2 linked regions of the Sus scrofa genome follow. The protein of the gene in region 1 interacts with the protein of each later gene in a biochemical or structural test. Links are inferred from orthologs where the notes say so. Each region holds a gene or a part of one and is shown in the gene's direction. Other genes may lie near its edges.

Evidence for each region.
Region 2: the proteins of ANXA7 (region 1) and SRI interact in a biophysical measurement, tested with the Homo sapiens proteins (2 studies listed by BioGRID and IntAct, with this or other methods). The link is inferred for Sus scrofa from reciprocal best matches to the Homo sapiens genes ANXA7 and SRI.

The regions. Positions count from the first base shown.
Region 1 is NC_010456.5:76,231,788-76,236,065, reverse strand, and holds the start of ANXA7 (annexin A7), read left to right. Parts: upstream 1-1,419; 5' UTR 1,420-1,569; intron 1,570-4,278. UniProt on the Homo sapiens protein: Calcium/phospholipid-binding protein which promotes membrane fusion and is involved in exocytosis.
Region 2 is NC_010451.4:68,495,457-68,498,946, reverse strand, and holds part of SRI (sorcin), read left to right. Parts: intron 1-36; coding exon 37-80; intron 81-1,437; coding exon 1,438-1,585; intron 1,586-1,830; coding exon 1,831-1,944; exon of another isoform or gene 1,945-3,054; coding exon 3,055-3,113; intron 3,114-3,490. UniProt on the Homo sapiens protein: Calcium-binding protein that modulates excitation-contraction coupling in the heart. Contributes to calcium homeostasis in the heart sarcoplasmic reticulum. Modulates the activity of RYR2 calcium channels.

The DNA.
Region 1 (4,278 bases):
GAGGCTGTGGGTCACTACACAGATGCAGCTAGGATTTGGTGTTGCAGTGGTTGTGTAGGCCTCAGCTGCATCTCCGATTCAACTTCTAGCCTGGGGACTTCTGTATTCCTTAGGTATGGCCAGTAAAAAAAAAAAAAGGGGGGGGCAGTGCTTTCTAAGTGGAGGAAGCATGAGAAAAGACCTCTGATCTTGGAAGGCCTTATGTGTCAGGAAAGAAGGACAAAGGATTAAGTGGGAAATCTAGTGTTCCTGCCTGAATAGGCTTTTGGATATTTTGGCCCTAAAACTCGGGAAAGTGGGCTTGGAAATAGAGGTTTGGGAAATAACCTCTTAAGGTGATAGTTAAGGCAGAGAGAAGGGTGAGGATGAGGTCACCAAGGAAGGAAGGTTGAGCAAAGAGGAGTGAGAACAGGCTTCTTAGGGAATGCTTAAATTCCAGAGGTCTCCAGGCAGGTTGGACAGAAAAGCCCAATATTTGCCAGACAGACTGGTGGGAGCTGGGAGATTAATGCTGGGTACCCAGAGTGTGGTGCAGTTTTGTTTAAATTCCACAGTGATCTTCCTCAAGTACCTTCCACTTTCCCCTGTTTTAGAGACATGTTTATCTTGCTCTTCCCACCTAAAAATTTAATCCACCCTATTTCACCCCCGTGGGAAAGATTTCTGGTGGAAAAGCATATGAAGTAATAGGTTGATGGTTCTCCAACTGGTGTGCATAGAACCACCTAGAGAGCTTGTTAAAATAGACTTCTGGACTTCACCTTTAGAGTTTAATTCAGTCGGTCTAAGGTGAAGTCCAATAATTTGCATTTCTAGTAAGTTTCCAGGTAATGTGGTGGCTGTTGGTTTGGGGCCACAGTTTGAGAACCATTGGAAAAGGTAGCCAACTGGTTTTTGCTCTGGATTAAATTTCCTTAATGAGTTTAAGATACTGATCTGGGCCCTTGAAATTGCCTCAAATGTTTAATGCCGCGGTGTATGTCATGATAGGGCTCTAGTGTGAGGGGAGCCTAGAATCACCTTGCAACTCCCTTCTGGAGTGGTATTGATTAGTGTATCTCGTGTTGTGCCTATTAAGGATCTCCATAAATATTAATTTATTTCACGCCGTCCTTGGCCTTAGAACAGGCGAGGGAAGATGGCATATCAGGCGGAGAGGCTGCACCTGGCCTCCCAGTCTTGAGTCCATCTCTGCCGCTCACCACTAAAGGGGCGGCAGAGAACCGTCGTTAGACCCTTTCAACGGTTCCCTTGGCTTTAACGGCTTTAACTTCCCAAGGGCCTTGAGAGAGCCCAGAAGGAACTGGCGCATGGACCTTGGTAACAAGAAGTGAGATTAGAACTGGCTTATTGCGCCCGAAGAGAGCGTCCTCTCTCAGGTGGTGGGTCCCCGGCTGGCCCTGCGGCCCCGCCCCCTCCTGCCCCAGGGGCGTTCCCGGCAGTCGCGGCTGGCGATCCTAACGGGCTCGGGAGGCGGCCCTGGGCGCCCCGCCTTTCCCCCCGCCCTCCCCGGCTCCATCTTGCCAGCGACCGAGCCGGAGTGTGTGTGACGCTGCTCCCCGGGTTCAGGTGAGGAACGGCGCCCCCTGCCCTTGCCACCGCGCGTCCCCCTCGGTCTTGTCGCCGCGGCCCGCTCCGAGGCCTGCCATCCGGGGGAGGGCGGGGCCCCGCGCGTGTCCTGGAGCCGCGGGGCGGTGGAGGGGCCTGTGGGCCAGCCGGGTGGCGGGCGTCGCGGTGTGCGCGTCGCGGGACCCAGGATGCCTAGTGGGGGCGTTGGGCCTGGGGCGTATTGGGGCGGAATCTGCGCGGCGACCCGGCTACCGGAAGACCTGTTCACTTGTCTGTCCACAGTTTGGAGGAAGCAATGACGCCTCCCACGCAGGCAGGTGGGCCGCAGGTGGAGGGACTGAGGCCAGGGCACGGCCCTGCTGAAGCGGCCTCAGGGAGGGCTGAGTAAGAAAACCAGCGAGCAGCACCGAAGGCTAGTCCAGCCGGGGGGGTCTAGACTTGCTGGTGACACAGCAAATTTAGGGAAACTTAAGAAATTTGTACTTTGCTTAGAGACACCCCCTTCCCCCGCCCCCAGGACAGAACCTGTAAACCTGGCTCAGGTCTATAATCCTTGGAAACTCTCCTAGGAAGTCGCATTCCAGATTTGGTGCCTATTCCCTGAACAGCAGCAAACATGTGAGCCCAACCTGTGTGAACACTTCTACAGAAGGAAATGCTTGTTGTCCCCCCAAAAGTGACAGAAATGAAGTCTTCTAATTGCTTTTAAACTCCCTCATTTCTCCCAGTTGATGGGTAGCTGATCTGATAAAGTAATCTGTCCTAGTTAGATAATGCCTGGAATGAGTTACTTCTCAGGCAGGGAAGCAGTTTCAAGTGGATAGGCCGCTAAAAGAGAATTTTGCCCTGAGCCTTGCAATCCTCTGGTGTTGGTTGCCTACCCTGCCCATGCAGAGGCTAGTCAGGACTCCAATTCTCTACTGAAGGGCCCTTGCTGATGGATTTAAAAGGTCCTTCCCAATCAAGAGACACGTTTTGGAAAATTGTAGTATCTGCTCTTGGCCATCTTCATTCACTGTTCCTGTTTCATATTTGTTTCATTAATTTACAACAGCTGCCTCCTGTGTTCTTGGGCTTCATGCCATTTATGAGACTTGCATAGTGAGACCCACGCCTTTTAGTAGTTGACTCACTGGGTGGAGATGCTTTGTGGAACCAAGATTACTTTCCTAGTCATTTAAAAGTATTTGCTGATGGAGAATGTTAAAAAGAAAATAAAATTTCTGGTTCACTGGTGTAGTCTAATTATTCCTTGGGCAAAATTGAGTTGTTTGTTGAGTCACCCTTGAGTTTGTTTAAGCTTTTTACAAAAGCTTTTTAAATCTACTTTTTGAATAGATGATACATGCACAATTCCAAAACGGTTAGGTGCATCGAAAAGTAAGTCTCCTTGTTATGTCCCAGCCCTCCTCTTAGAAGGCAGCCACTATTAACTGCTTTCTTGATTGAGTATACTTTCAGAGATATTCTCTCCACATACAAGCAAATAAATGTATTTTCTTTACACATTTGTTTGCAAAGTATCTATGCAGTTTTCCACCTTTCTTTCCATTTAATGTGACTTAGAGATAGTATCACATATGAGTAAAAAGAGAGTTGCTCATTTTAAATAGTTCCATAACATTTCAGTGTATGGTTACCTATAATCTATTTCACTTGTCCCTTTTTAATGGACTTTTAGATTGTTTTTATTTTTTTATTTTTAAAAAATTTTTTTTTTGTCTTTTTTTTTTTGTCTTTTTGCTATTTCTTGGGCCGCTCCCACGGCATATGGAGGTTCCCAGGCTAGGGGTTGAATCGGAGCTGTAGCCACCGGCCTACGCCAGAACCACAGCAACGCGGGATCCGAGCCGTGTCTGCAACCTACACCACAGCTCACGGCAACGACAGATCCTTAACCCACTGAGCAAGGGCAGGGACCGAACCTGCAACCTCATGGTTCCTAGTCGGATTCGTTAACCACTGCGCCACGACGGGAACTCCTAGATTGTTTTTAATCTTTTTCCATTACAAGTAGTGCTGTAATGAAATGAATAGCCTTGTATGAATATAATTTTGCATTTGTGCAAGTATTTCTATAAGGTACATCTTGGAAATGGAATTGCATTATAGTCCTTTATATACTTATATATTTTTTTAATTATATGGCTGCACCCATGGCATATGGAAGTTCCCGAGCCAGTGATTGAATCCCAGCCGCAGCTGTGACCTATGCCACAGCTGTGGCAATGCCGGATCCTTTAACCCATTGCACTGGACCAGGGATCGAACCCATGCCTCCACAGAACCTGAGCCACTGCAGTCAGACTCTTAACCCACGCACCACAGAGGGAACCCCTATATAATTATTCTTCAAAATGTACCCAAATTCATTTTCTTTAAATTGCTTTAAGTTTTCTCATATGCAGATAGTCTACTTCATCTTCATTCTGTTCTGAAACTCTTGTTGACATAATTCCTCTAGGGTCCTTAAAGGTAAGATTTGATATAGTAGCTAAAGAATATAGAAATGAACTTAACTGTATCTTGAAACAGTTCTCAAGATTTAGAAATTTAAATTGCTTATGTAGTCTTTGGTGCTGTAACACTTGTTGCCTTTAAAGTTATGAATTTCTCTCATAAATTGTTTTCAGATTTTTCCCCTTTCTTTTGACCTTGACCTCTTTTGCCCTTGGTTCATCTGACTGTCCTTAGATGATGTTGTTTCTC
Region 2 (3,490 bases), on another chromosome or scaffold:
TGTATTAATATGTATGTGCTTTTCTTGATTTAACAGCTTTTAACCTGGAGACCTGCCGGCTTATGGTTTCAATGCTGGATGTATCCTTTACCTTGATTGCTGTCTAGAGTATTTTTTTCTGGCTGGAAAAATAAATTTTTCCTGAGGATTAAGGAAGTAAGAATTCATTCCTTGGAGTTCCCGTCGTGGCTCAGTGGTTAACGAAACTGACTAGCATCCATGAGGACACGGGTTGGATCCTTGGCCTCGTTCAGTGGGTTAAGGATCCAGTGTTGCTGTGAGCTCTGGTGTAGGTTGCAGACGTGGCTCGGATCCCATGCTGCTGTGGCTATGGTGTAGGCCAGTGGCTACAGCTCCGATTCAACTCCTAGCCTGGAACCTCCATATGCTGGGGGTGTGGTCCTAAAAATACAAAAGACAAAAAAAGAAAAAAAAAAAAAAAGAATTCATTACTTGGTGTGAATTCTTAACTGAGATGCCATTTGCTGTGAAAAAGGAGAGAAGCATAGTAAATAGAGCATATTGATTAGTTAAGAATTTGAGGAAGCAGGAGTTCTTGTCTTGGCCCAGCAGAAACGAATCTGACTAGTATCCATGAGTTTACAGGTTCGATCCCTGCTCACTCAGCGAGTTAAGGATCCAGTGTTGCCATGAGCTGTGGTGTAGGTCACAGAGGAGGCTCGCATCTTGCACGTTGCTGTGGCTATGATGTAGGCTGGCGGCTACATCTCTGATTCAACCCCTAGCCTGGAAACTCCCATATGCCACGGGTATAGCCTAAAAAGACAAAAAAAAAAAAAAAAAAAAAAAAAAAAAAAAAAAAACCCAAAGAATTTGAGGAAGCACCAAAGGCAAACAAGGACAGAAACTAAAGCAGTGGGGGGGGAGGCTTTGGCACTTGTGAAATTGATGACTCTGCTCAATTGACACCTGACCTTCAAGCAATGGGATTTTTCACATCAGGGTTGTTAGACTTGGTTGAACTAGTGCTGACCTGGTGGTGCCTTCTTCCCACCTCATTTTCCAAAGTGAAAACACTGGGTTTGGGAGGGTGGGAGGGTTCACCAGGGGAATGGGAGGGCTAAAGAGGACCGGGGCAGACGGCTCAGCCTTATTGCCTGGGCCACCAGAAAGTGCAGCCCAGTTTGGTCCCCTGACTGCTTGTTACAGGTGGTGAACAGTGGCCTCTTTATTTCCTTGTAATCCTATCATAAAGATTACCTTTTTCCATAGTGGAACATATATACTCAGAGCTTTTTCTCCACAGGCCCTTTTTATTATATATTGGGGCATCTTTGTCCTATCATCCCCCAAAAATGTATAACTTTTGAACCCTTTCAACTGAAAGAACATTGAATCCCCTCATCCTTGATCTTTGATTTAATCATGAGAAACTATTACAAGCTCAAGATGCTGTAATCCTTGATGACAGTTCAGAGAGATATGTCCGGCACAATGGGTTTCAATGAATTCAAAGAACTCTGGGCTGTGCTGAATGGCTGGAGGCAGCACTTTATCAGTTTTGACAGCGACAGGAGTGGGACAGTGGATCCTCAAGAACTGCAGAAGGCCCTGACCACAATGGGTGGGTATGCCGGACCCCCACGCTCTTCATTGGTAGGAGTCTTTTTTTTTTTTTTAATTCATAAAACTTAAGTGCCACGTGAAAGCGGTGTCTATTTTCCAGAAGTCATGTGTATTCATAATTTAAAGGAGCCCTGTCTTAAACAAATGTGCTTGGTTATTTTTAAAGGTCTTTTTGTAATCCTTGAACCTTTTTCTTTTCTTTTTTTTTTTTTTTTTTTGCTGGATGATTTCTCTTCCTTCCAGGATTTAGATTGAGTCCCCAGGCCGTGAATTCAATTGCAAAACGATACAGCACCAATGGCAAGATCACCTTTGATGATTACATCGCCTGCTGTGTCAAGCTGCGTGCTCTTACAGGTGTGGCCTCTGAGGTTGCTGTTAATTGTAGTAGCCAGCAGAATCACTCTGTTCTCTCAGAACATTTTTTCACATTTCTAAGTAATCTGCCATTCAAATCATCCTTACTCAACTTTGCTAAAATGGTCTAAAATTTCACAAGCTAACTGGTCTGTTTTTGGTCAGAGTGTGAACAGTATCCTGTGATTTCTCCCTAGACCGTGAAACACTTGAGAAGAATGAAATTATCCTTTGGTAGTTTCTCTTACCTAATTCCTCTTGTTGAAAAGTAATGTAAAATAATAGTCTCTGTCTCACATGTGCTTCTTAAGCAATATCAATAATCTCTACTTTTCTCTCTCTTTTTCTTTCTTCTGCATGTTTTTTTTTTTTTTTTTACTCCATTCCTCTCTTTAGTTTTTTACCCTTTTTAATATCTGGTTTTATCATTTTTTTGCACAAATGCAAAGACAGATTTTTAAGTAAATCCTTTTCATTTAATAGGACAGAGCTCAAAGAGGTGGAATATTTAAAATGATCACAGCTGTTTGTCCTACTAAAGACACCATCCATCTTCTAATTAAACAATAAGAAGTCTGAAAATATGTGCTTCCATTAACAATTAAGGAATGGGGTGTTCCTGTGGTGGCTCACTGGGTTAAGGACCTGATGTTGTTTCTCTGAGGTTGTGGGTTCAATCCCTGACCTCGCTCAGTGGGTAAAGACTCTGGTGCTGTGGTGTAGGCCTCAACTGCAGCTCCGTCCAACTCAAACCCTAGCTAGGAACATCCATATGCTACAGGTGCAGTCATTAAAAAAAAAAAAAATTAAGGAATGGCCTGAGAAGTCACATGGCTTTTACTGACTTTGGGATAAGGTGTTTTCTTCCAGCTACAGGCTGAGAAAGACAGTTGGCCAACTTCTGCATGTTGTATTACTTGGTTGCATATTAAATCTATTCACATTCGTATAGTTGGCTTCTTTGCTTTAGTCTTTGTTTATATTGGCTGGTTGAACAGTTTAAACCCACTTTAGACTGCATCTTGAACCCAGTACCAACATAATTAACAATTATGATTTCAGATAAGATGTTTACACAACACTCATAAATTTGACTGTGGTGTTTTACAGACAGCTTTCGAAGACGGGATACTGCTCAGCAAGGTGTTGTGAATTTCCCATATGATGATGTAAGTCTCAGTAAATTCAGAACTGGGTAGACAAGGAAGGCGTGCGGCAAATGGGCATCTCTTTGAAGTTGGCTGTTGAGAGCATCTCAAGGATGCCAGCACAACCGAGGATTAAATGACCAGGAGTTCCCATTCAAAACACATTGAAAAACCTGGGTCAGAGCCCAGCCTGTAGCAGGGTCACTCAGACAGGGCTCTTCGTTTGCTCAGAGATTATTTGAGGAGAGAGGAAGTGGTAATAATGCAGTCTCCACTGGGCTCTTGTGAGATTTCAATCAGAAATGTCCTTGAAAAAACCACGCAGATGTTATATCTGCAATTTGTGCCTTCTTTAAGCCAAATGTCCCAATCACTGAGGAATAACGTGCACGGCTCAA